4 linked regions of the Anolis sagrei genome follow. The protein of the gene in region 2 interacts with the protein of the main gene of each other region in a pairwise test. Links are inferred from orthologs where the notes say so. Each region holds a gene or a part of one and is shown on either strand. Other genes may lie near its edges.

Region 1 (7,999 bases), on a different chromosome or scaffold from region 2:
TGTTACTCCACCCTCCTTCTAGATTGTGCAAGAACGAAATTCTCCATGCATCACACACAGCCGCCACAGACTTCCGCTCCTTGTCAAGAGCAGAGGCAGGGGGGGAAAAAAGGCATCCATTCTGGGTCTATAACAAAAGAAGATCGGGGGAGACCGGGAGCTGCGTAGGGAGATCTCTGCGTGTCAGTGCTGTACACACTGAAACCTAGAGAGGAGAGAGAGGGGAAGCAGCTGAACTAGCTAGGCAAACCCGCCGCCATCTTGCAATGCGGGAAAGAAGTTCACAGAAAGCAGTGAAGGGGAAAGGCGGATTCAACACGTAAACAGGCACATACACACACACAAACATAGAGGACCCTTCCACACTGCCATGTAATCCAGAATATCAAGGCAGAATAACCCATAATATCTGCTTTGACTTGGGTTATCTGAGGGCCCTTCCACACAGACCTATATCCCAGGATATCAAGGCCGAAAATCCCACATTATCTGAGTTTGGACTCAGATAACCCAGTGCAAAGCAGATATTGTGGGATTTCCTGCCTTGATATTCTGGGATATAGGGCTGTGTGGAAGAGCTCTGAGGCCCCTTCCACACAGCTGAATAAAATCCCACATTATCTGTTTTGAACTGGATTATATGGCAGTGTGGAAAGGCCCCGAGTCCACACTGCCATATATCCCAGTTCAAAGAAGATATTGTGGGATTTTTTGCCTTGATTTTCTGGGATATAGGGCTGCGTGGAAGGGCCCTGTGATCACAGTGTCATATATCTCAGGGCCCTTCCATACAGCCCTATAACCCAGAATATCAAGGCAGAAAATCCCACAATATTGGCATTGAACTGGGTTATCTGAGTCCACACTGCCATATATTCCAGTTCAAAGAAGAAAATATGGGATTTTAATTCAGCCGTGTGGAAGGTACCCAAGTTCAAAGCAGTTAATGTGGGATTTTCTGTTCTGATAATTTTAGGATATAGGGCTGTGTGAAAGAGCCAGAGCTACATGAGTCCACACTGCCATATATCCCAGTTCAAAGCAGATAATGTGAGATTATATTCAGCTGTGTGGCAGGGACCAGAGCAACACAGGGGTTCCTTTTCCTATTCCAAATTATCAGGCGACTTTTGCCATATATAACAGGCATGGGAAAACTTGGTCCATCCAGGTGTTTTGGACTTCAACTCTCACCATTCCTAACAGCCTCTGCTTAAGCGGGAAAGGAGGGGGCCTGAGGCTCTTAGGAATGGTGGGAATTGAAGTCCAAAACACGTGGAAGGACCAAGTTTTCCCATGCCTGTTATAGATGGCAAAAGCTGCCTGATAATTTTACAATTTTTAGCAATCTCCTTTGGAATAGGAAAAGGAATCCCTGTGTCTCTCTGGTCCCTGCCACACAGCTGAATATAATCCCACATTATCTGCTTTGAACTGGGATACATTGTGAGATTTTCTGCCTTGCTATTCTGGGTTATGTATGGAAGGGCCCTGAAAATATTCCTGCTTCTTGGCAGGGGGTTGGACTGGATGGCCCTATATCCCAGATTCTCCTGTAAAATTAATCCCAGAGACTATGGAGGTGGATCCCATTTAGGGCCCTTCCACACAGTCCTATATCCCAGATTCTCCTGTAAAATTAATCCCAGAGACTGTGGAGGTGGATCTCACTTAGGTCCCTTCCACACAGCCCTATATCCCAGATTCTCCTGTAAAAATTAATCCCAGAGACTATGGAGGTGGATCCCACTTAGGGCCCTTCCACACAGCCCTATATCCCAGATTCTCCTGTAAAAATTAATCCCAGAGACTGTGGAGGTGGATCCTACTTAGGTCCCTTCCACACAGCCCTATATCCCAGATTCTCCTGTAAAAATTAATCCCAGAGACTGTTGAGGTGGATCCCACTTAGGTCCCTTCCACACAGCCCTATATCCTAGAATATCAAGGCAGAAAATCCCAGTTGTGGACTCAGACAACCCAGTTCAAAGCAGATATTGTGGGTTATTCTGTCTTGATATTCTGGAACATAGGGCTGTGTGGAAGGGCCTAGCTGAAAATTTGGGGAAACGTCGCCATCACAAGGCCCGATCCAAGGGAGGCTTGGGAATCCAGACAAAAACATTGTGGGTTTGGTTTAAACCTCTATCCCCCACACACACTCTAACACAATTCCACAGATTGACCCAAATCTTGCTGCCATAACAAGGCCCAGTCCAGTGAAGCTTCGTCGTCGAGATAATCCACGCAGTAACGTCGTCCAAGCAAGGGCCAAGGCGGCGAAAGAGTAGTATCTCTTGCCTTTATGTCAACACCTAATCCAACCTCCCCCCCCCCCCTTATATATATATATAACCCGGCGAAGGCGGAAGTGCCGAAAGAGCGAGGCCTACTTCCTCACCTTGTTGATGCGCTTGAGGGCCATGGTTGGTGGGCGAGGGGCGGGAGGCGCTGCTCCGTCGGTGTCGCTGCTGCTGCTCCTCCTCCGCCTTCTTCTCCGCCGCCTTCTCCGCCGGGCCTTGCCGCCGCCGCACTCCCTCCCTGCGGAGGATGGAGCCTGCCTGCCTCTCTCGCTCTCTTCTCGCGCTCCTTCCTCCGGAAACCAGCCGCGCCGACGTCACCGCCTCCGCCTCTGGCTCGTCCCACCTCTGAGAAAGCCTTCCCCGCGGCCTAGTTCGGTCCCGAGCCCTTGAGGCCTAAACGCCCGCCGGAGTTTGCGAGGAAAGGAAGACTGGGTGAAAGCTTAAGGCGCCGCCGCCACCGCCGCCGCCACTGATGGCGAGGCCGAAGAAAGGGGCGGGGCTAAATAAAGGCCCCGCCTCCTCCGCCGCTGCCCTCCCTCCCTCTTTGGCGTGGTTTCCGATTGGAGGAGGCCTGCAAACGCTTAACCGCCACCGTAGCCTGGATGACTTGACTGACTGACTGGCCGCGCGCTTGCTCTGGCTCGAGACACAGAGAGGAAAAGCTTGTGTTGTTACACCCGCGCATGCGCACTTCGTGCTGTTTGTTTCTATTCTGCCCTTACAAGATATATTAAAGTGGAGGAGGAAGGGGGAGGGGGAAGGGAAAGGAGGCAAAAGAACCTCTCGCGAGAAGAGTGTGCGACCGCTCGCCGCTGAATAAGCCCGTTCTTGTCCTCCGTGCGCATGCGTAGAGAAAATTAGATGTCTTCCCCAAAAGAAGCTCTCGCGATAAGAAGAAGAAGGGGAAGGGGGGAGAAATGTGTTGTGAGCGCGCGCCGCTGAATAAGCCCGTTCTTGTCCCTCGTAGCGCATGCGTAGAGAAAAATTACATGTCTTCCCCAAAAGAAGCTCTCGCGATAAGAAGAAGAAAAAAAGGGGGGGGGGGAGAAATGTGTTGTGAGCGCGCGCCGCTGAATAAGCGCGCTCTCGTCCTCTTTTTGCGCATGCGTCGAAAGACATTTCTCGGTCTCGCGCATTCAGCAAATGGCCGCTGAGGAGAAGGGACGATTTTGTCATGAGAGGAGAAGAAAAAGAAGAAGAAGGAAGAGGCTCTTGAATCCCTCCCCGCTTTTTAAAGGAATCATAGAATCCTAGAGTTGGAAGAGACCTCATGGGCCATCCAGTCCAACCCCCTGCCAAGAAGCAGGAATATTGCATTCAAAGCACCCCTGACAGATGGCCATCCAGCCTCTGCTTAAAATCTTCCAAAGAAGGAGCCTCCACCACACTCCGGGGCAGACAATCATAGAATCAAAGAGTTGGAAGAGACCCCATGGGCTATCCAGTCCAACTCCCAGCCAAGAAGCAGGAATATTGCATTCAAATCACCCCTGACAGATGGCCATCCAGCCTCTGCTTAAAAGCTTCCAAAGAAGGAGCCTCCACCACACTCCAGGGCAGACAATCATAGAATCAAAGAGTTGGAAGAGACCCCATGGGCTATCCAGTCCAACTCCCAGCCAAGAAGCAGGAATATTGCATTCAAAGCACCCCTGACAGATGGCCATCCAGCCTCTGCTTAAAATCTTCCAAAGAAGGAGCCTCCACCACACTCCAGGGCAGACAATCATAGAATCAAAGAGTTGGAAGAGACCCCATGGGCTATCCAGTCCAACTCCCAGCCAAGAAGCAGGAATATTGCATTCAAATCACCCCTGACAGATGGCCATCCAGCCTCTGCTTAAAAGCTTCCAAAGAAGGAGCCTCCACCACACTCCGGGGCAGACAATCATAGAATCAAAGAGTTGGAAGAGACCTTATGGGCCATCCAGTCCAACCCCCTGCCAAGAAGCAGGAATATTGCATTCAAAGCACCCCCCACAGATGGCCATCCAGCCTCTGCTTAAAAGAGCCTCCACCACACTCCGCGGCAGAGAGTTCCACTGCTGAACGGCTCTCACAGTCAGGAAGCCTAAAACGGTTTGATTGCGTTGAAAGATATATATTCCAAGAGTCAGTATACATGGGCTTGTAATGTAGTTGTGCTTGGACATTAACAACAACTTGGAAGAGACCTCATGGGCCATCCAGTCCAACCCCCTGCCAAGAAGCAGGAATATTGCATTCAAAGCACCCCTGACAGATGGCCATCCAGCCTCAATTTAAAAGCTTCCAAAGAAGGAGACCCCACCACACTCCGCGGCAGAGAGTTCCACTGCTGAACGGCTCTCACAGTCAGGAAGCCTAAAACGGTTTGATTGCATTGAATGAGATATATTCCAAGAGTCAGTATACATGGCCTTGTAATGTAGTTGTGCTTTGGACATTAACAACTTGGAAGGCCCTTACGCAACACAGCAAGCTCTTTCCAAAGATGGAACTTCATTGGAGTGATGTTATAGGCCTATTTCTATCTTTCTTCTATCTATCTATACATCTATCTATGTCAGGGGTTCCACAAACTTTTTAAACAGAGGGCCAGGTCACAGTCCCTCAAACTGTTGGCAGGCCAGATTATAATTCGAAAAAAATACGAATGAATTCCTATGCACACTGCACATATCTTATTTATAGTGCAAAAACATTTTAAAAACAATACAATAATTAAAATTAAGAATAATTTTAACAAATATAAACTTATTAGTATTTCAATAGAAAGTCTGGGCCTGCTTTTGGCTGATGAGATAGGATTGTTGTTATTGTGTGCTTTCAAGTAGTTTCATACTTAGATTGACCCTGAGCGAGGGCCGGGTAAATGACCTTGGAGGGCCGCATCCGGCCCCTGGGCCTTAGTTTGAGGACCCCTGATCTATATATACATACCATACATATACACATTACACATACACATTACATATAATAAAAGTATAATGTATATATGTGTAAAAGTGAAAATTTGTATGTGGCTGGAGTGTTCACTTCCACAGACAGGCGCCCACTTCCACAAATAGCTTTAACCCACAGTCCTGAGGGGCCACCTAAAGCCCCCCCCCCCCCTCCAATGACATTTCAGGTTATAATAATAATAATAATAATATAAATAATAAACCTTTATTTGTACCCCGCTACCATCTCCCGAAGGACTCGGTGCGGCTTACAAGAGGCTGAGCCGAAATACATCAGTAAAAACAACAATAATACAACAATAAATAAACTCATAAACAAGGCAATAACATTAACAACACGCAATGACGCAATTAAAAACAATGTCAGGGCCAAATGTAATAATTAAATTTAAAAAGTGCTGGGCATGACCAGGTGAGGTGTTTGGAGGGGGATGGGCATGCAGATATCCTGGATCTCTGATAAAGTGCGTTGGGACATAATGCTAGGAGTTTCCTTATTCTGGGAAGGCACACTGGAACAACCACATTTTCAAGCTCCTCCTAAAAATTGCTAGCGACGGGGCCTGCCTGATGTCCTTAGGGAGAGAGTTCGAGAGTCGAGGGGCCAGAGCCATGAACATGTCTCCCATACCCTGCCCATGTCCCCAATCCCGCCACCCAAGGAAACTTGCACTTCAGGACAGGAATAGCCCTCTTATTTTAAACACCACACATTGAGTAGGGAAAAAAACAATCATTTTATTGAAGATAAGTAAAAGCAGCAAAGTAAAGGAAAAAAACACTTTAAAGGAATAGGTAAATCCAATTAGGAAAGAAGATAAGCAGGAACAAATTAGTCCAAGGTAAAGTTCAGCAAAGTCCAAAAACAAAGCCCACTCTTCTCTAACAAAATCCAGAGAACTAGGAAACGTTGATCCAAGGCATCAGTATACAACCACCAGAACCAAGAGTCAAACCGTTGAACAAGAAATCCTTAAACATAAATCTTCCAGAAAAAACTTCCATGAGGCAAGAACCAGAACTTAGCAGGATTCTAAAACGATGCTTCATCTGACTGTATTTCCCACGCTTGGAACTTTATGTCCCCTCGTTAAGCCATTCCAAGCACTCAGAAATTGGTTTTGTTTTCCCTGAATGCCTCTCATCCTTATCTGTCAAAGCCTGGCAGAATGCCGAAGGCTTTGGCCGAGCTGTCTTGTTTTGGCTAATTTCCACCCGCCTGTCTATATGCTCATTAGTTTCTGCAGGTGCCAAGTTGTTTTCAGATCCTAAGAACTTTCTGGGAGCAATTCAGGGAGTAAAGCATCATCCCTATACCCTGTAGGAACATTCTCATGGGAAACTACACTTTGAACCGGTGTGACTATGTCATCCTCTGCATCAATACCATTGACCAAACCATTTCCATCTTGAATCTCATTGACATCATTCCCCGCATCCAAAGCACCATGATTTTGAAACACAATCACAGGCTGAACTCGAACAGAATCCTTTCATTCAGGGACAATTTCATCCTAGATTTTATGTGTTTTCTCCATCACAGACATCCCAGTGTTTCTTACTCTTTCCATTGGTGTGGAATTTGCATGATCCCACTCACTGCATCTCCCTTAACCCTTTCCTACACTTCAACGGAGCCCTGAGTGGCGTAATGGGTTAAACAGTTGAGCTGCTGATACTGCTGATTGAACATTATAGTAACATTATAAATCAGGGCTGGGCAATCCAGGTGTTTTGGATTTAAACTGTGGGAGTTGAAGTCCAAAACACCTGGATTGCCCAGGTTGGCCCAGGCCTGTTAGGCTACTATCTGGTTGGAGTATTGTCAAACTGCATTCGTTCTACAATGTGGATTCAGCCTGCGAAGGTCTGTTCCCAGTGGTAGCAAAGTAGCATAGTACAGATTCATATAGGAAGATACTATCCTTTTGCTAGCCTGGATGCAAATCATACAGGGCTTTATAGGTCAAAACCAGCAATTAAAATGGTGTCCTGAAATCAATTGGTAGTTAAGCTGTTGCAACCAGGGAGTTTATGCTCTCTAACCTGTCCTCATTTTCTGGGTTCAGGTCTTTGAACTAACACCCTTTCTACACTGCCATATAATCCAGATTATGAGAGTTGATAATCCACATCTGCTTTGAACTGGATCACATGAGATTCAGGCCCCCTGGTGGCACAATGGGTTAAACTGCTGAGCTGCTGAACTTGCTGACCGTAAGGTCATAGGTTCGAATCTGGGGAGTGGGATGAGCTCTTGCTTTTAGCTCCAGCTTCGGCCAACCTAGCAGTTCAAAAACATGCAAATGTGAGTAGATTAATAGGCACAGTTTCTGCAGGAAGGTAACGGCGCTCCATGTAGTCATGTTGGCCACATGACCTAGGAGGTGCCTACAGACTATGCCAGCTCTTTCACTTAGCACCACCCCTCAGAGTCAGACATGACTAGATTTAATGTCAGGGGAAACATTACCTTCATATGGGGGCCCTTCCACACAGGCCTATATCTCAGAATATCAAGGCAGAAAATCCCACAATATCTGCTTTGAACTGGGTTATCTGAGTCCACACTCAGATAATATGGGATTTTCTGCCTTGATGTTCTAGGATATAGGGCTGTGTGAAAGGGCCCAAAGTTTACACTAGCATATAACCTAGTTCAAAGCAGATATTCTGGATTTTATATGGCAGTGTGGAAGCGGCCTAAGTGAAACCTCTGTGTGCTTTCAGCTCCAATAACAATATGATCCT
Region 2 (7,035 bases):
TCCAGTCAGCACCCTGTTTTCTTCAGTGCTTCTCCATTATAATGCCGTTTGGCACCACTTTAACTGCCAATTATTAAATTATATGGAATCCTGGGAGTTATAGTTTCACAAGCCTTCTCTGTTAAAGAATGCTGGTGCCTCACCAAACAACTCTGAGGATTGAGCCCAGCATTGAGTCCTAGCACTTTAAGTGGTAACAGGTGGCCGTCAGGTTACTAAGAGGAGCAGCGCTCAGGAAGCACACTACTCCTCTGTTGCGTCAGCTCCACTGGCTGCCAATCTGCAACCAGGCACAATTCAAAGTGCTGACTTTAGCCTATAAAGCCTGAAACGGTTGTGGCCCAGCTGACCTGTCCGAATGTATCTCCTCCTATGAACTATTTATTTATTTATTTATGCGCTTGTATATCGCTAATATCTCAGCCTAAGTCGGCGACTCATTGCAGTTTACAACAACTAAAAAGTTAAAAACAATTAAAAAACAGTATTCAATTTAAAACATGAAACACATAAACAATACAAATTATTGGGCCACCAATAATAATCCCATGCATCTCGTAACTAAAATCACAATCCAAAATTCATCGTCCATGATTACCAGTCCTTTAGTCATCAAAATTCGTTGCAACGGATTAACTATCTAGGAGCTTAGGATCATCGGGGAAGGCCATGCTCTCTATCCTGCCTGCATTGCAGGCGCGATTGGCAGGGACGAGAAACAAGGCCTTTTCAGTGGTGGCCCCCCAGCTATGGAACTCCCTCCCCAGGGATATCAGATCGTCCCCCTCCCTCCTGACTTTCCGTAAAAAGGTAAAAACTTGGCTCTTTGAGCAAGCTTTTGAGTTTGCAATAAAATAGATAACATGAAACTATGAATGATGAACATGAGATGGCCAGACGATGTGATTGGAAGATGTTTTAACAGGATGACACCTATGACTATATGTTTTAATGGTTTATATATATTTTTGCATTGTTATGTTGCTTGTTTTGAACTGCACTTTATGAATGCATGGCATCAAACTGTGCCAAGCTGTAACCTGCCTTGAGTCGCCATATGGTTGAGAAACTGTCCATGGAGAGCCTTCTCTTCTGCTCTGGGTTGTGTTTTTACGGTACTCCCTCTTTGTCTTTTGCACTTTAAGCAGTTTACTACTATTGACTTCCCTCAGTGTTGGTTCTTGACTGCCATTTATTTATTTATTTATTTATTTATTATTTCACACATTTATACCCCATCCTTCTCACCCCCAGAGGGGGACTCAGAGGAGTTATGTCAGGATGCCCAATGTCGGCCTTCAAGGATAGGCTGCATGTGTCATTCTGACATGATGGGATGAAAGGAGAAGAGAGGGAGAGTTGATAAGGCAATATGGCCTGGCTGCTTTTTTGAGAACCAGACTGGGGGTCCTTCCATACAGTCCTATATCACTGAATATCAGGGCAGCAGTTTGATAGTCACACATTATGCTTTGGATAGCATAGGGAAGGGTGACCACCCCTGTGGAGTTTGTTTCCCTGTCTGTACCCCTGTTAATAATAATAATAAATAATAAAACTTTATTTGTACCCTGCTACCATCTCCCCAAGGGACTCGGTGCGGCTTACATGAGGCCAAGCCCACAGGACATCAATAAGCAAAGGCAATAACAAATAATCAATACAAAAGTTAAAATAAAATAAAACTCAAAAACAAAAAATACACAATAAGCGATAAGCAATATTAATAACAATAACATACAGCATTTAAAAACCAATGGCCGGGCCAAATGTAATAATTAAAATTTAAAATGCTGGGCATGAACAAGGTAAGGTAAGCTAGGATAGGGTTTTCAAAGAAAGATGAGGGCGCGCAGACAATCCTAAATCAATATTAAAGTGCATTTGAGGACATATTGCTAAGAGTTTTCCTATTCTGGGAAGGCACACTGGCACACTTCCCCTATTCTGGGAAGGCATTTCAGGCTCCTCCTAACGACTGCCAGCATTGGGGCATGTCTGATGTCCTTAGGGAGTGAACTCCAGAGTTGAGAGGCCACCACCGAGAAGGCACTTTCCCTCGTCCCCACCAGTCGCGCCTGCGAAGGCGGTGGGAGCGTGAGCAGGGCTTCTCCAGATGATCAAAGAGATCGTGTGGGTTTGTACACAGAAATGCAGTCACACAGGTAGGCGGGTCCCAAACCGTTCAGGGCTTTGTAGGTAAGAACCTGCACCTTGAATTGGGACTGGAAAATGAAGAGCAGCCAGTGGAGCTCCTTAAACAGGAGGGTTGACTGCTCTCTGTAAGCACTGGTTAGCAACCTGGCTGCCACCCATTGTACCAATTAAAATTTCCGGGCCGTTTTCAAGGGCAGCCCCACGTAGAGAGCATTACAGTAGTCCAATCTGGAGATGACTAAGGCATGGACCACCCTGGCCAGATCCGACTTCACGAGGTATGGTCGCAGCTGGTGCACAAATCTTAATTGTGCGAAGGCCCTCACGGCCACCGCCAACGCCTGAGCTTCAAGCGTAAGTGATGAGTCCAGAAGGACACCCAGACTGCGGACCTGTGACTTCAGGAGGAGTGTAACCCCGTCCAGCACAGGTTGCCACCCTATACCCCGATCCGGTTTACGATCTACCAGGAGGACCTCTGTCTTGTCAGGGTTGATCCTCAGCTTGTTCCTCCTCATCCAGACAGCCACAGCGGCCAGGCACTCGTCCAGCACCCGAGGGGCTTCCTTGGAGTTAGGTGAAAAAGAGTAGTTACGAACATAAAAACTCCAACCATCACCCAAGTCAAAAAAGAAGCACCATTAAAACCTTCGCACACTGTGCAAAAAGAATCTGCAAACCCCACCTTCTCCAAGATGAACTGAACCACCTCAACTGGGCTCTACAGGCCAATGGAGACTCCACCTCAGACATCAGAAGAGCTAAAAGACCGAGAACAGCCACGAGAACAAAGATGAAGATCCACCCAGAGGAAAAGTGTTCTTGCCATACATCAAGGGAACCACTGACCGCATAGGGAAGCTGATGAGGAAACACAACATACAAACAATCTACAGACCCACCAAGAAAATCCAACAAATGCTTCGTTCAGCAAAGGACAAGAGGGATCCTCTCACCTCTGCAGGAGTCTAGCGTGTACCATCCAAACGCAGGGACCACCAAACGCAGCATTGCCCAAACACGAATCAAGGAACACGAAAGGCACTGCAGACTACTTCAACCAGAGAAGTCAGCCATAGCAGAGCACCCGATGAACCATCCTGGACACAACATATTATTTGAGAACACAGAAATGCTGGACCACACCAACAACCACCATGTCAGACTACACAGAGATGCCACTGAAATACACAAGCATGTGGACAATTTCAACAGAAAGGAGGAAACCATGAAAATGAACAAAATCTGGCTACCAGGATTTAAAAACTCTTAAAAAAAATTAGAGCAGCACAACAACAGAGAGGAAACAAACAAGGACATCTAAGCACCTCTCAACAAAAGATTGCTCCAGGCACTGCCAGGCTAATCAAGGTGGCCAGTTGAAACATTCACACCTAGCTCCAGGAGACAAGAGTCCTTTGTCCCACCCTGGTCATTCCACAGATATATAAACCCCTTTTCCTAGTTCCAACAGACCTCACTACCTCTGAGGATGCTTGCCATTGATGCAGGCGAAACGTCAGGAGAACATGGCCATATAGCCCGAAAAAACCTACAACAACCCGTAGTTAAGAACGTTTCCTCGCACTTTCCGTCCCTCTCTAACAGGCCTGGGCCAACTTGGGCCCTCCAGGTCTTTTGGACTTCAACTCCCACAATTCCTGGGAGCTGGTAAAGCTGGCTGAGGCTTCTGGGAGTTGGAGTCCGAGTCGCTCACAGGCCCAAAGTTTGAAAACTCAGTCGGATGCCTTGCTGATTGCCGGCCCCTCTTTCTCCGTCGCCTAGCAACGCGGCGTTCCATCACCCGTCCAGCCAATCCCGTCGGAGCGCCCTTCTGGGCTCTTCTCTCTTTCTCTATGGTCGAGGGCTACTTCCGGTGACGTCGGTTCCTGTTTGGAGGGGAGGGCATTTCAGCCAGTAGGACATTGCGAGTGAGGGGCTTCGCAGGGCCCCTGCTGGGCGCCCCAAAACACCACTCCCCCGGCTCCCAGTCTACTCCAGGTATAGCTGTGTGTGTGTATATGTATGTATATGGGAAGCCCCCTTCCTTGAAGCCATAGCTCCAGGTCTAGCCCAGGCATGGGCCAACTTGGGCCCTCCAGGTGTTTTGGACTTCAACTCCCACCATTCCTAACCGCCAGTAGGCGGTTAGGAATGGTGGGAGTTGAAGTCCAAAACACCTGGAGGGCCCAAGTTGGCCCATGCCTGGTATATAAGGTTGGGCCAAAAGTCACAAAGGGGTTTCAGTTATAAAGTTCCTGTATATGTCTGTCCACTCAGGTTAGCTGTTTCTTCCTCTTTCTTAGGCCCCATGTAATGCAGTCCAAAGCTAGCTAGCAGCCGGGGCAACAAACTCACTAAAAAGTCCTTAATGTGCACCTGATGACATGTGTGATCACCACCCAAGCCTTTTCCAGGACTTTCTTTGTAATCATCTGCACAGCAAAACCACCTTTTTCAATACTGGTTTGAAATGGCATTAAATGGTGAGTGTAGATAGGATCTTAGGCCCCTTATACACAGCTGTATACAGTCCAAATTTAAACTGGATTATATTTATTTACAACATTTAGATGTCACCCTTCTCATTCCAAAGGGGACTCAGAGTGACTTACAAGTTACAAGTACATACAATATATTATGTTATTAGCATAGCACAATAGTAATATTATATATTACTATATTGTACTATACCACTATACTATAATATTAGAAATACTACATGTAATATGAAATAACTAATAAATAACAATAACAAAATAATCATTTTATATGGCAGTGTGAACAGAGGCCCCTTCCACACAGCTGTATAAGATCCACATTATTATATTATTAGCATATTATATTGTATTATTAGCATAGTACAATAGTAATATTATATATTACTATATTGTACTATACCACTATACTATAATATTAGAAATACTACATGTAATATGAAATAACTAATAATAATAAACAACAATAACGAAAACATCATTTTATATGGCAGTGTGAACAGAGGCCCCTTCCACACAGCTGTATAAAATCCACATTGAACTGGATTTTATTTATTTTTATTTATTTATTTACGACATTTATATGCCGGCCTTCTCACTGGATTATATTTATTTATTTATATTTATTTATGACATTTATATACTGCCCTTCTCACCCCAAAGGGGACTCGGAGTGACTTACAAGTTACAAGTACATACAATATATTATATTATTAGCATAGCACAATAGTAATATTGTATATTACATCACTTTATATGGCAGTGTGAACAGAGGCCCCCTTCCACACAGCTGTATAAAATTCACATTGAACTGGATTTTATTTATTTATTTATATTTATTTACGACATTTATATTCCGCCCTTCTCACCCCAAAGGGGTGACTTACAAGTTACAAGTACATACGATATATTATATTATTAGCATAGCACAATAATAATATTATATATTACTATATTGTACTATACCACTATACTGTAATGTTAGTAATATTACATGTAGTATGAAATAATTATTATTGTTATTTATTATTATAACAACAACAACAACAACAACAACAAAATAATCATTTTATATGGCAGTGTGAACAGAGCACCCTTCTACACAGACCTATATCCTAGAATATCAAGGCAGAAAATCCCACATTATCTGAGTGTGGACACAAATAACCCAGTTCAAAGCACATATTGTGGGATTTTCTGTCTTGATATTCTGGGATATAGGGTTGTGCGGAAGGGCCCTCAAATAATTCTGTTCAAAACAGATATTGTGGCATTTTCTGCCTTGATATTCTGGGTTATATGGCTGTGTGGCAGGGCCCTGAGATGCTTTGGAAATTAAGGGGAAAATGCAGTATAATGCAGGAGTCAGGGTGGCATAGTGTTTTGAGTCTTGGACAGTCAGGGTTTGAATCACTGCTTGACCAGTGAAAACCCACTGAGGGACCTGGGGCAAGACACATAGAACCTTCCATATAGCCATATAACCCAGGGCCTATCCACACTGCTGTATAACCCAGAATATCAAGGTAGATAATCCACAATATCTGCTTTGAACTATCATACAATCCAATTCAATGTGGATTTTATACAGCTGTGTGGAAGGGGCCACACTCTCAGCCTTAGAAACCCATTAGGGCCACATAAGTCAGAAGTGATGTAAGGCACATAATAATAATAATAATAATAATAATAATAAGGCACATAATAATAATAATAATAATAATAATAACAACAACAACAGCAACAATATCTGTCATTAACAAGAACTGAAGCCAGGAACAGATGTGTGTCACCATCGAGTTTAAATGGTCAAGTTAAGCCATTCTTCCATTGCACTCCAGCCTTTGTGAGTCGATCCTGTTTAGAGGCAACTATGTGATAATTCAGCCCACATGTATTGGGTTTGAGGTAGCATTGCTACAGCAGCTCGCCTGCTGCTTCATATCTTTAAAACATCACGCATCCCGGTTTCTGTGTGTTGATATACAAGAGTATACATGTTCAACTGTTCCAGGCCTACACAACCTGTGACCCTTCAAGTGTTTTGAACATTGGCTGCCAGAATTCCTGACCATTGAACAAGCTGGATAGTACTACTGGGAGCTGAAGTCCCAAACACTTTGAGGGCCACAGGTTGAATAGGCCTGAGTTACTCAATCTGGGAAAGAGATGGGATGGAAAGTTCTGCAGAAGTATTCTTGCTCTTTCCTCTTGTTCCACTCTGACCCACCCTGCTATCAATCATTGTAATTTCAGCCACAATCTTGATTATATAGTGCCAAGATACAGAAGAAAGCGCCCATCTTGAAACAAATTGCAGAGTTGGAGGAGATCTAGTACAACTGCTCAACCTGTCCTGTGTCATTGGATCATTAACCTG
Region 3 (7,079 bases), on a different chromosome or scaffold from region 2:
GATAAATCCACTATTTCCGGCATCTGGACTGCAGAATACTGCAGCTCAGACCGTATTCCCACAGTTTACCGGGCTAAATAAGGCCAATAACTGTGGGAATACCCATCCCCTCCCCTGAAGCCCCCAGATCCCTTAGAAAAGTAATAAAACTTACCTGGCCTCCATTACAAGCCTCGGCAGGCTCGTCGAGCAGGACGAGGAAGGGAGGAAAATTGCTCCCCTCCAGCTCTCCTGGCACATCATTTCTACGCGACGGGAGAGTCCACCGGAGCTTGTAATGGAGTCTGGGTAAGTTTTTATTACTTTTCTAAGGGGTCTGGAGGCTTCAGGGGAGGGGGGTAGGGCCTCCCTCCAGATGTTCTCTGGGATGGGTGTGGACAGGTCCGTGTTTTTAAAGTGGATTCTCCTGGGATAAAGGCCTGTCTGGATCTGGTCTCAGCTACCCGACACTATGAATGTAATACTTAACCAATAGTCTTCTTGAAGGAATTTTTTTGCTAATAGTCTTTTTGAGAAATTTTAGCAATTTTCTTCTTGCTTAGAAGGCTTAAAAATAGATCCTGTTCTGTGAATTTTTCAAAATTCTACTATCAGATTTTCTCAGCACTTGAGAAACACATTTTTCATAATTTTTGCATTATTTTTGTACATTAGTTCCATGAATACTTGTCAAAAAAAGCCAGCCATGCAGAATGTTTGCTGTGTGATCAATGCAGATGCCAATAAATGGATGTTGATAATTTACTAGGCTGTTAAAGTTGGTCTGAGCCAGATCAGTGTTGGAACATATAGTTCTGCCTAAATTATCAAAACTTTTCTGATGTTCCCAATGATTGGATTTTTCAAATGGCAAGACCGCATGGAGAAAAGTGTTGAAACAGCATGCCCATCTCTGAAATTAAAATTGTCTAAAGCAATTTTAGGCTATAGTACCAAATCCAAAAGTCAAACAGAAAGTCTACTTTAAGTGGTTGCTACTGAATATGATTGCTTTATTTTATTTATTTCCTGATGTCCAAACACTCCAAAGTAGATTAGAAGTTAAAATAAAAACAGTAGAATAATATACAAGAAAGAACTCTCTTCCCAACTCCTAAAATGGCATGTTATAGCAGGAAAGAACAGAATATTAGCTGTGATCAGCACAACTGGGTTATAGGAAAGTGTCACCTAACAAGTCCCATATCCTAGGGTGAAAACAGAGTTATTCAAACAACCTCTTGACTGCCACATTGCAAAGAAAGAACTGTTAAAATTTACAAGTGGCTCGCAAAGTGGTTGGATGAAAAACCTTGGGTAAGAAAAGAAAAGGTGAAGAGCATGGAGACCAGTCTGTAGGTTGTCTGGGGTCTGCTCTCTAAACTCTAAACATTAAAAGGATTTGGGGCTTATTGAAATTGGGTAAGAGGCAGAAAATTGTTGTAGCTGTCAAACCAGTTCCACTATGTTACATGAACTTAAGCAATGTTTCTTAAGTATGAGCGTATTAAGCCCTAGGCAACAAATTAGCACAGCAAAATTAGCACTTGAGCCATTAGAAATCCCTTCAAAGTGCTTCATAAACTTAGCCTGAGATCTGTTCAATCAACTAGATACAGGTTGGGTATCCCTTATAGAATTCCCAAATTCAAAACATTTCAAAATCCAAAATTATCCATGTGGGTGGCTGAAATAGTGGAAGTCTCACCTCCTGGTGCTGCAATGTACACTAACTTTGTCACATGCACAACATTATTAAAATATAGTATATGAAAACATTTCCAAACTCTATGAGTTGTGTCTCACCTCCAATATATTTCATTATGTATATGCAAGCATTGCAAAATCTGAGGGGGGGGGGTGGGGGGCAGAAATTCAGCACACTTCTGGTTCCGAGTGTTTAGGATATGGGATGCTCAATGTGGAAGTAAGCAAACACAATTTCACAGCTGTTTTTTATTCAGCTGTTTGTAAGGGTGTTCCATAGCATAATTTTGAGTAGTAGGGGAAAATGTATAACTTTCCAGCTCTTCTTGGGCTCAAATTGCCACCAACACTAGTCAGTATTTCCAGTTATGAGGGAACCCAATGCACCCTTCCACACAGCCATATAACTCAGAATATCAGGGCAGAAAATCCCACAATATCTGCTTCGCGCTGGGTTATCTGAGTCCACACTGCTGTATATTCCAGTTCAAAGCAGATATTAATAATAATAATAATAATAATAATAACAATAATAACTTTATTTATATATCGCTCTATCTCCACAGGGGGACTCAGGGCGGTTTCCATAGGTGGGATTTTATTCAGCTGTTTGGAAGGGGTCTAGTGGTAAGTTGATCTAGATCACGGCTATAATGCCTTTGCTGTTCCAGATGTTTTGGACTTCAATTGTCAGAAGCCTGCAACACCATCTCCAATGACCAAGGACTGTGAGTGAGAAACAGAGACGCTAGGTCCACCATCTACTGAGAATGCATGAAATACAACAGACAACTTATTTACACTACAGCAGAAAAATGAAAATACTTGAAAGCATCATTCGCTGAAAAAGTAGAGGATCTTTTACCAGCACTGAACAAATTCTCAACTTTTGTGGAAGTGATATATAAAACGACTTACCCATTTTGGAAATGTTGTTCAAGGTTTGAGCGTTGCACAATCTCTGAGCAGAAATCTGTGAAAGGACAGCTAACCAAGAGTTTATCCAAGAGTTTATTCACTAGTAAGCTGGATTTTCTGCAAGTCTGTAGTATCAGAGTTTTACGGTCCATAGGGCAGAAGTCTTGTTCCACTAAGAAATCTGTAAGGCAAACTGTGCAGAAGGTATGCCCGCAAGGTGTGTCCAGTGGTTCAAGCAAAGGTTGCAAACAAATGTGGCAAATGAGATCATCGTCCACATCTTCAGTGTAGGTATACATGTGGTTCTCTTCTGGTTGATGTGGCTGGCCACAGACCACACATAAGGAAACAGCGCTTTCTTCTGCTTCTCCTAATGGATCCTTTTGATTCATAACTGGAGAGTGTTGCATGACACAAAGGTCAAGGAAAAGATTTCAATTCAAATTTCAGTTTCAGTCCAAAATATTATCTGTTGTCTCAGTAGTTCTTCAGATCTGTAGGGAAGCATGATGACAAATCAAATGAAATTGTTTCGAAGCAACTGCATTATGAAGATTGATTATGACATACAATGCTCAATTAAACTTTCGTATGCGAGTCAATAGTCCATGACACTTTGGAAATTGAACAAGAACTCAAGATATACAGACACAAATTACAATATCAATTAAATGGATCAGCAACAGAAGATAAAAAGAATGAACAATTTAACCTATCTCTCCTAATGCTAACCAAATTCTCTCTGGTCAATTGTTTTCCAAATCCAGGTGCAACCACATACAAATGTTGTTTCTTTTTGAAGGCACCAAGAACTTGTCTCTCAGCAGATTATATAGTGTGCTACCGATTATGTAGAGAAATGAAGATGCTCAGAGGCTAGTCGATGCATGTTTTCAAGTTATTTCCAACATATAGTGACCCTTAAAACAATATCATTGGGTTTTTCCATCAAGGTCTGTTTGGGAGAGGGGATTACCTTTGTTTTCCTCTGAGGCTGGGAGAGTGTGATTTGCACAAGGTCACCTAGTAGGGCTACAAAGTGGAATTCACAACATGCGAGTGTGGAGAAGAGCAAACTACAGACCATCTGCTGCGATGTAACCTGAGTCCTGCTACATGCACCATGGAAGACCTTCTTGCAGCAACACCAGAGGCACTCCAAGTGGCCAGCTACTGGTCAAAGGGCATATAATCAACTACCAAGCTTACAAACTTTGTGTTTTGTTTGTTTGTGTTTTTTTGTTAAAAAATGCAATACAACTGTTTGGCTTGTTTCTGACACGATAAATAAATAACCTAGTAGGTTTTCATATCTGAGCAGGGATTTCAATATGATCTCCAGGCTCATAGTTCAACACTCAAAACACCACATGACATTGACTTTCTCTCCTCAACTGCTAAGGGTAAAGGTAAAGGTTTTCCCCTGACATTAAGTCCAGCCATGTCTGATTCTGGGGTGTGGTGCTCATCTCCATTTCTAAGCCGAAGAGCCGGCGTTGTCCATAGACACCTCCAAGGTCATGTGGCTGGCATGACTGCATGAAGCACCGTTACCTTCCCGCCGAAGCGGTACCTATTGATCTACTCACATTTGCATGTTTTCGAACTGCTAGGTTGGCAGAAGCTAGGGCTGACAGTGGAAGCTCACGTTGCTCCCTGGAATCGAACTTGCGACCTTTTGGTCAACAAGCTCAGCAGCTCAGTGCTTTAACCCACTGCGCCACCGGGGGGCCCTTATCCTCAACTGCTACCCGCCCATAAATAACCCACATCCCCAAAATTACAAATTTATCAACAAAATTGAAAATAAAGACCTACTCATGGATAAAGTAGGATAAAGACCTACTTTCACTTCTGACCCATTTGTCCAATTCAAAGGTTAACGAGAGAAGCTGAACTATATGAAAGAACAGATTAAAATGATCAAGGGTCTGGAGAACAAGCCCTATGAGGAACGATTTAAAGAGCTGGGCATGTTTAGCCTGAAGAGGAGAAGGCTGAGTGGACACATAGCCATGCATAAATATGTGAGAGGAAGTCATAGGAAGGAGGGAGCAAACTTGTTTTCTGCTGCCCTGGAGATTAGGACATGGAACAATGGCTTCAAACTACAAGAAAGGAGATTCCATCTGAACATGAGGAAGAACTTCCTGACTGTGAGAGCCGTTCAGCAGTGGAACTCTCTGCCCCAGAATGTAGTGGAGGCTCCTTCTTTGGAAGCTTTTAAACAGAGACTGGATGGTCATCAGTCGGGGGTGCTTTGAATGCAATTTTCCTGCTTTTTGGCAGCGGGTTGGACTGAATGGCCTATGAGGTCTCCTCCAACTCTATGATTCTATGATTCTATACTCTGGTTGGCTACCAGTAGAACTGGTATTGTAGAACTGTCAATATACTATGCTGTGAAAACTCTCTTTCTTTAGCTTCAAAAGATCATACTGCCAAAATACGTAAGATTAGTATATTATTGTTATTGTTAGCACTCATTTAATACTCACAACAATCCTGCAAGGTAAATTAGAATGAAAAGAAGTTATGCAGCAAGCTTTATAGCTAAATTGGAACGAAAGCATGGTCTCCATTTAGGTGTTGCACCAAACTGGTTTCATGTTTTATCGTACAAGACTGATTTGAAATGAATTCTACAAAAGGTTGGTTTTTTTGTTTTTATCCAATTTTGCAATTATGGCAATTTGAAGAAAAAATTAAAAGAAGAGAAAATAAAGGTTTTTTCCAAAGGAAAGGTCTGTTTTGTAATAGCAACGAGACGGGGTAGAGATGAAGAATCATACTCACTGATGCCATATGGCTGCCATCAAATTGGAACAGAAGCAGAAGGAACCTATCATACTGAAATAAAGAATGGTATGGCAATGGAATGAATAGCCATTAACTGTTACTATCTATGAAAAGGAGTCCTATTAAAAGGAGTAATGAGGGAAGCAAATGACCTCTTCACAGGGGGCTAAATTCAGTGGTATGCACCAATTTAGTCCAGGTACCCATGGAGCCCACCGGCTCGCATCAGACAACACTGTGCTGGCTCTATGGGTGAAGAAGGGCAGAGCTGGTGCATTTCACTGCCGTGGCAACATGGGAGACTTTAATGGAGAGAAGCTGCACACACCACGCTTCTCCCATGGGATCAACTGCCGGGCAATGAAGGGTATGGGGTGGCCACTTCTCCACCCCTTCTCCATCCCTCCCCCCCCCCCCCCCGTGAAACACAGAGATGTGGGGCATGTTCAACGGCCGTGTGACAAGGTCAAAAGAGGCAGCAACTATTGACAATAGACATTATTATCCTGCTACAATTGTGGTTGGCCAGCCTCATGTGATAAGTTCCAATGTTGACATGAAATAAGAATGATTTTTAAGGCCTAGAACCCATTCACACTATACAATTATAGCACTTGTATACCACTTCAACTGCCATGGTGCCATCCCTTGCAATCCTAGGTTTTGTATTTTAATGAGGCACTGGGGAATTCTGGCTGAGAATTCTAGATGACCCTTCATACATTTCCAGTCCTAGGATCCCATTACATGGAAGTACTTAAGCAGGGGGACAGCAGGGGAATCTGTCGGTCAATGGGGCAAATTTGTTGGGCAGTGAGGGAAATTGACATTAATTGCCCTGCATTGCTTGCTTCCCTATCACATGGGGAAAACCATTGCTGCCCGGCTTCCCTGTGTTGTCCCCAGCTTAGGTAAAGAGAACATAAGTAGCCACCCATGTTCTCAGGGCTTCATCCAATGATACTGCTAGGATGAAACCCACTGGATATAGCCCTGCGTCATGTGATGGGTTCCATTGGGCTCCATCCTAGAAGCATTGTAGGATGGAGCAAAAGACTCATGCGATGAGGTCCCATGTGATGGAACCATGGCAGTCAAAGTGGAATGAGCCTTCTTGAAATTATTTATTTATTTAAAACATTTAAATTTCGTCCCTCTCACCCCAAAGAGGACTCAGGTCAGAGCACAACATATATATGGCAAATATTCAGTGGTGGAACTTAAAATAAACTATAAATATACATAAACACTCAAATCAATTATCTTCACTTTAAAATCAATTGTTTTAAACCATCTCAGATCAGCCATACCGGATCCGGTCAGTAGGGTAAAATTTCCTATTGTTGCCTTATTGCACTGTCCCAAAGGTAATTCCGCCTGTGGAATTCACTCCCCAGGGAAATTAGGTCATCGGCATCCCTCCTCAACTTTAGAAAGAAGGTAAAAAAGTGGATGTGGGATCAGGCCTTCGGGTAATTAGGCGGAAATGACAAATGACAATTTTGACAATGGCTTGGAAATGGATTATGGATAAGTTTAATGGAATACTCAATCACAGCATACGGCTAGATAATGGCCACCAGACTGTTAATAGTTCGGTAAACTATAAGTATATTGTTTTAATGTTTTTATGCTTTTAACTGTTGTAATTATTGGTGTTTTGTATTTTATTATGC
Region 4 (6,920 bases), on a different chromosome or scaffold from region 2:
TTTAGGCACAAACTCCACATTGGGTCTGTTTGCCAAGAAGAAAGATATGTAAGGCTTGCTTTCCAACTGCAGTAGCCTGGATGTTGTTCCCTTGAGAGAACTGCAAGATGCTTAAAGCATAAATCCAAAGGTGTCATTAAAGATGTGCCGGAGACACACCCGAGGCAGGAAGTAGCAGGGGAGATGACTGAGGGCAGAGGTGGCAGAGGAAGCACCAGGCGGGCACACAAAGGAGGCAGAGGCATGCCTGACACCTTTCCCTCCTGGGCTGCAGGTGTGTTCCTTTTGTTTTATGTAAGACCCCCCCCCACACACACACACACACACACACCGCTAAATAAAATCCCACATTTTCTGCTTTTAACTGGCTTATCTGAGTCCACACTCAGGCCCTATATAATAATGTGGGATGTCCTGCCTTGATATTCTGGGATAGAGGGCTGCGTGGAAGGGCCCAGGGATATATGGCAGTGTGGACTAAGATAACCCAGTTCAAAGCAGATATTGTGGGCTTTACTGCCTTGATATTCTGGATTATATGGCTGTGTGGAAGGGTCCTAAATTCATGGAAGGATTACCTCCACTAAATTCTAGAGGAAAAGATTGTGGGCCCTTCCACACAGCCATATAACCTAGACCAGTGGTTCTCAACCTGGGGTCCCCAGATGTTTTTGGCCTACAACTCCCAGAAATCCCAGCCTGTTTACCAGCTGTTAGGATTTCTGGGAGTTGAAGTCCAAAAACATCTGGGGACCCCAGTTTGAGAACCACTGACATATACTATCAAGGCAGATAACCCACAAAATCTGCTTTGAACTGGGTTATCTGAAGCCCCTTCCACACAGCTGTATAAAATCCACATTGAACTGGATTATCTGGAAGTATGGACCCAGGGCCCTCGCAGATAGTTCAAAGCAGATATTGTGGGCTTCCCAAGATCTGATCCCAGATTTTCTGCTTTCAATTGAATTCTTTGAGGGCCCTTCCACACAGCCCTATATCCCAGAATCTCAAGGCAGAAAATCCCACAATATCTGCTTTGAACTGAGTCATCTGAGTCCACACTGCCACATATCCCACTTCAAAGCAGAAAACATGGGATTTTCTGCCTTGATATTCTGGGATATAGGGCTGTGTGAAAGGGCCCTGAGTCCGCATTGCCAGATAATCTGAGGTAAACAGAAAACCTGGGATCAGATTCTGGGATATAGGAACTGTCTGGAAGGGCCCTCAGATAACCCAGGGCCCTTCCACACTGCCATATAAACCAGAGTATCAAGACAGAAAAACCAACAATATCTGCTTTGAACTGGGTTATCTGAGTCCACGCTGCCATATATTCCAATTCAAAGCAGATATTGTGGGATTTTCTGCCTTGATGTTCTGGTTAATATGGGTGTGTGGAAGGGCCACCAGTTCAAAGCAGATATTGTGGATTATCTGCCTTGATATTCTGAGTTATATGACTGTGTGGAAGGGCCCTGAGTCCACACTGCCATATAATCCAGTTCAATGTAGATTTTATACAGCTGTGTGGAAAGGGCCTTAGGCCCTCTCTACACCGCCACATAATCTAGGGCTCTTCCAGAGTCATATAACCCAGAATATCAAGGCAGAAAATCCCAAAACATCTGCTTTGAACTGGATTATTTGAGTCCACACTGCCATATAATCTAGTTCAGTGGTTCTCAACCTGTGGGTCCCCAGGTGTTTTGGCTTCCAACTCCCAGAAATCCCAGCCAGTTTACTAGCTGTTAGGATTTCTGGGAGTTGAAGTCCAAAACATCTGGGGACCCACAGGTTGAGAACCACTCATCTAGTTCAATGTGGATTTTATACAACTGTGTGGAAAAGGCCTCTACACTGCCATATAATCCAGATGAACAAAACACAGAATCCACATCATCTATATAGGAGTCCACAGTGCCATATATCCTAGTTCAAAGCAGATATTGTGGAATTTCCTGCCTTGATATTCTGGATTATATGGCTGTGTGGAATGGTCCTGAGTCCACACTGCAATATAATCCAGTTCAATGTGGATTTTATACAACTGTGTGGAAGAGGCCTTAGCCACATAATCCAGATGAACAAAGCACAGAATTCACATCATCTATATATGAGTCCACACTGCCATATTGTTCAAAGTAGATATTGTGGAATTTCCTGCCTTGATATTCTGGATTATATGGCTGTGTGGAAGGGTCCTGAGTCCACACTGCCATCTAGTTCAATTTGAATTTTATACAACTGCCCCCTTCTAGACTGACACATAATCCAGATGAACAAAGCACAGAATCCACATTATCTACATATGAGTCCACAGTGCCATGTAGACGGGGCCTGGATGGCGGGAGACGGGGCCGCACACCTGCCTCTCTTCCGGGCAAGGCGCCCTCCCTTTGCTTGAAGCGATGCCCAGCGCCAGGCTCAAGGCGTGCCCTTCATCCCTGGCCTCCCGGGCGGGGAGAGGGGCAGGAAAGAGAAACCAAAAGCACGGGCCTCCTTCTGGGAAAGGCGAGGGCCGCCTTGGAACAATAGGCCTCGGGAAGGGCCCCCGCAGGAGGCGCCTTGCGGCCTAGGCCGGAGAGGCGCCGCCTGCCGAGGGTTTGGGGCCCAAGCGCGGGGCCTCGCTTCGGGGCGGGGAGGCCCAGCTGACACGGCGCGAAAGGCCACCAAGGAGGCCTCCTCCCTCCTCCTCCTCCACAGCTAAGACCCCCACGAGAGGGAGGGAGGGAGGGAAGGGCCGGGCATCCCCTGGAGCGGCGCCTCCCTCCCTCTTTCCCAGCCTGCCTTCCTTACCTTGTGGATTCTCTTCAGCGCCATCGCGGCGGCGGCGGCGGCGGAGCCTGTGGAGGGCGGCGCGCGAGGAGGCAGGAAGGAGGCGAAGAGGAAGGAGCGGGACTACTTTTCCGGCGGCGGAGGGAGCGCGGGGGCTGCTCGGCGGAAGAGGCAGGCTGGAAGGGAGGGAGGGGGCGCGCGCGGGCCTCCTGGGCGCTCCCCTTTCAAGTCCCTCGTCGGCGCCCCCGCCCCGCCCCTGCACGCCGCTCCGTCGTCCCCTTCCGCCGCCCCCTCCTCCTCCTCCTGCTTCTCTCCCTCCTTACTATTTCCCCCGGCTCTCCCTTCACTGACGTTCTCGGCGCTGCGGCTCCTCCAGCCGCATCACCCTTCAGCGAAGTTCTTTTATGACGCGACGGCGGCGCGAGGTTAATGAGATTCCTCCGCCATCGGCGTTGGCGCATGCGCCTCGCGGCCGTCGCGGCAGGCTCGCGGACTGAGTGGGGAAGCGCTGCGTGACCTTACGCGGACGCTTAGGAAGGCGCTGAACGAGCAAGTGTGGCCCGCGGCAGGGAACCCCTCGGAAAAGGACAGAGCACGAAGGCGTCCCCTTCATCGGTGAGGGCCGCGCAAGGCGAGGGTTCGCTCTCTTCTCGCGAGAAGAGACATGGCGGATGAAGGCCCAACAACTGTCAGACTCGAAGAGGGAGGAACAGGACAGGAAAAACTTTTCACTTGGGAACAAAGGGGTTTAATGGAAACCAGGGCCCTTCTACACAGCCCTTTATCCCAGAATATCAAGGTGGAAATCCCACACTATCTGAGATATTGTGGGATTTTTTGCCTTGATATTCTGGGATATAGGGCTGTGTGAAAGAGCCATGAGTCCATACTGCCATATATCCCAGTTCAAAGCAGATATTGTGGGATTTTTTGCGTTGGTATTTTGGGATATAGGGCTGTGTGAAGGGCCCCGAGTCCACACTGCCATATATCCCAGTTCAAAGCAGATATTGTGTAATTTTTGCCTTGATATTCTGGGTTATAGGGCTGTGTGGAAGGACCCTGAATCCATACCGCCATATATCCCAGTTCAAAGCAGATGTTGTAGGATTTTCTGCCTTGCTAATCTGGGCTATAGGGCTGTGTGGAAGGGCCCTCAGATAACCCAGTTCAAAGCAGATATTGTGGGATGTTTTGCCTTGATATTCTGGGATATAGGGCTGTGTGGATGAGCCCTGAGTCCATATTGCCATATATCCCAGTCCAAAGCAGATATTGTGGGATTTTTGCCTTGATACTCTAGGATATTGGGCTGTGTGGATGAGCCCTGAGTCCATATTGCCATATATCCCAATCCAAAGCAGATATTGTGGGATTTTTGCCTTGATACTCTGGGATATTGGACTGTGTGGAAGGGCCCACATAATTTCAAGATAGGTAAGCCACAATATCTGCTTTGAACTGGGTTATCTGAGGGCCCTTCCGGACAGGCCCTATAACCCATATCTGATTCCATATTTTCCTGCTGTAACCTGGATTGTAGAAGTCCCCACTGCCAGATAAACTGGGATAAACAGAAAACCTGGGATCAGCTCCTGGGATATAGGGCCTTTCTGGAAGGGCCCTCAGATAACCCTGCCATATATTCAAAGCAGATAATATGGGATTTTATTTAGATGTGTGGAAGGAGCCTCAGTGGGTCTATAGTCAGGACGAGGTTTGCCATGAACCCCTTATTATTATAAAGGGCCCTTCCACAATGCCATATAATCCAGAATATCAAAGCAGACAATCCACAGTCACAGTATCTGCTTTGAACTGTGTGATCTGAGTCCACACTACCATATTATCCATTTCAATGTGGATTTTATACAACTGTGTGTTGTTCAGTTGCATCTGACTCTTCATGACCTTATGGACCAGCCCACGCCAGAGCTCCCTGTCAGCCGTCACCACTCCAGTTCCTTCAAGTTCAAGCCAGTCACTTCAAGGATACTATCCATCCATCTTGCCCTTGGTCAGCCCCTCTTCCATTTCCTTCCTTTCCTTCCATACAACTGTGGGGAAGGGGCCAAAGTCTGTCCTTTATTTGTGCACTAGAAAGCTTTTCTTTTTATGTAGAGGCTCAACAGCTCGGCTCAAAAACCCTTTTTTTTTTTTTTTTTTTTTTTGAGGATTTGAGTCTTCCTTAGAAGTGGACATGTGTATCATTTTATTTGCCAGTATATGTTAATGTGAAAAAATATAGAGAAATCCATAGCTACATTAGCTGAAATCAATACCTTTGTTTGGTAAAACCATTTTGAGACTTGCATTTTTGTTTTTTGATGACCCAGTAACTCTAGTCGTATTTAGAGCTATGTTCCTTTCTATGTAAAACAAATGAAATGGACTCGTGGATGCTATTGGGTTACACTGTGCATCACTTTTTTCTTTTGTAAAAATCAAATTTAAACTTTTTTTAAAAAAAGTATAATGATGTGGTATATCCACATGTCAGTTTCTATTTGGATACCTGAAACTTTTAATATATCCAACTTGATTTTTTCCCTCCAAAACATGCCATTCCAAATGTACTCTATATTCCTAAGGTATCAGGATGACTTACAATCTGTAAAAATGGGTAATAATTGTGCTTATTTACACTGACTGCTGCTGTGCATTCAGCAGCTTGTTTTGGACTTCTCTTAGTGGCTAAATAACACACACCACTGAAGAACACTACCACACACTTTAAGGGTTTTTAACATAAGTTGGGGAAAGTCCAAAACAAGCCCCTGAATGCATGACAGTCCCAAAGTAAATCACACAACATGGCAAAATCAGCTCCATAGCATACAAAGTTCATTGTGGACATCCGATGCACTGATGTGTATTGTAAAACTCAGAATGGGGCTGACTGATGAGAAAATGCCGAGGGCATGACTGGGGAACAGGTGGTCAGTTGACCCCTTGGGATAGATAATTGATTATCTCTACTGCTAGTTCTCACTTTCCCTTCTTTTTTCCACCTCTTGCGTCCACAATGTAAATGTGCAAGCCATGGATACTGTGGATTTTGGAACCAGTTCCAGATCACTTTTGTGGTTAATGTAATCACCATCCTGGTCTGAAATCTGTTCCAGAAATAGCAATCTTACCATCCATACAGAAAAACCAGTTTCTGCTGAACTGGTTTAAAACATACTTAAGTGGTCAGTGTATTTGATATCTCAGTCAGTAGGTAGATAACACAGAGGGGTTGCAATGTATATTTATTTATGTTTTAATATTTTGGTGGATTCTATATGGTGCCAGGATTGTAGATGTTTTGTTGCTTCTATAGCAATCCATGCAGGAGATAATACTGTCCCTGCTGTCATCCCAGACAGGTCAAACAGGCAGGCTTTCTAGTTACCTGGTCAACATATATTCTTCCATGGCACCTTAAATGCTAACAAATTTATTCTGGTGCAGACTTTTATAGATTGCAGCTCACTTTAATAGATATAATGAAACTAGCTCAGATGACACACAAGCACAAAAAACAGCCAAATGAGGTACAAAAATAGCATAAATTACATATGCTATTGGTGGTCTGGTTTTGTGTTAAATATTAAGAAATCTTCAAATTGTGTAATAATTATATTGGTTCGGTTTATGTTTGAATGCCATTGAAATGCTTATTCTCTTTAAAATAAATTCAGCTCTACTTTTAATTTTACATCACAGGCACGCGAAGTTAACAAGTCCCTGAAAAATAACTCTTTTATGCAGTCTTCCTTCTAATTTGAGGGGCAGGAGATGTAGTATAGACTTCGATAAAGGAGGATTGGAAAACAAAACCTTGTCAGTGTTGGGTAAAAAATATTGAAGCTTGACCTAGGAAAGAATGTGTTCCACTCTAGGTGATCCTCCCGCAGTTATGTGCACTTACTCCTCCAGAATCACTGAGTGTGTATGAGGAGCAAAACAGAAGCCCCACCCACACTGTCATATAAGGCAATTCCAGAATGCAGTTTAACTGCATTGAACTGGATTATATGAGTCTGCATCGCCGTATAATGCAGTTCAATGTAGTTAAACTGCATTCTGACAACGCATTATATGGCAGTGTAGGTAGGACTAGAGAAGCAGATTGGCCTACCTCACCAACTACC

What was found.
Region 1: the proteins of TRIM39 (region 2) and UBE2D3 interact in binary tests that used the Homo sapiens proteins (3 or more experiments, as listed by UniProt). The link is inferred for Anolis sagrei from reciprocal best matches to the Homo sapiens genes TRIM39 and UBE2D3.
Region 3: the proteins of TRIM39 (region 2) and LNX1 interact in binary tests that used the Homo sapiens proteins (3 or more experiments, as listed by UniProt). The two-hybrid records come from large-scale screens. The link is inferred for Anolis sagrei from reciprocal best matches to the Homo sapiens genes TRIM39 and LNX1.
Region 4: the proteins of TRIM39 (region 2) and UBE2D2 interact in binary tests that used the Homo sapiens proteins (3 or more experiments, as listed by UniProt). The link is inferred for Anolis sagrei from reciprocal best matches to the Homo sapiens genes TRIM39 and UBE2D2.

Annotation. Positions count from the first base shown.
Region 1 is NC_090025.1:27,743,881-27,751,879, forward strand, and holds the start of UBE2D3 (ubiquitin-conjugating enzyme E2 D3), read right to left. Parts: upstream 3,026-7,999; 5' UTR 2,426-3,025; coding exon 2,402-2,425; intron 1-2,401. UniProt on the Homo sapiens protein: Accepts ubiquitin from the E1 complex and catalyzes its covalent attachment to other proteins. In vitro catalyzes 'Lys-11'-, as well as 'Lys-48'-linked polyubiquitination.
Region 2 is NC_090022.1:23,343,421-23,350,455, reverse strand, and holds the start of TRIM39 (E3 ubiquitin-protein ligase TRIM39), read left to right. Parts: upstream 1-4,026; 5' UTR 4,027-4,158; intron 4,159-6,911; exon of another isoform or gene 6,912-6,931; 5' UTR 6,932-7,035.
Region 3 is NC_090025.1:74,813,081-74,820,159, reverse strand, and holds the start of LNX1 (E3 ubiquitin-protein ligase LNX), read right to left. Parts: upstream 3,024-7,079; 5' UTR 3,015-3,023; coding exon 2,605-3,014; intron 1-2,604.
Region 4 is NC_090024.1:137,845,873-137,852,792, forward strand, and holds the start of UBE2D2 (ubiquitin-conjugating enzyme E2 D2), read right to left. Parts: upstream 3,025-6,920; 5' UTR 2,827-3,024; coding exon 2,803-2,826; intron 1-2,802.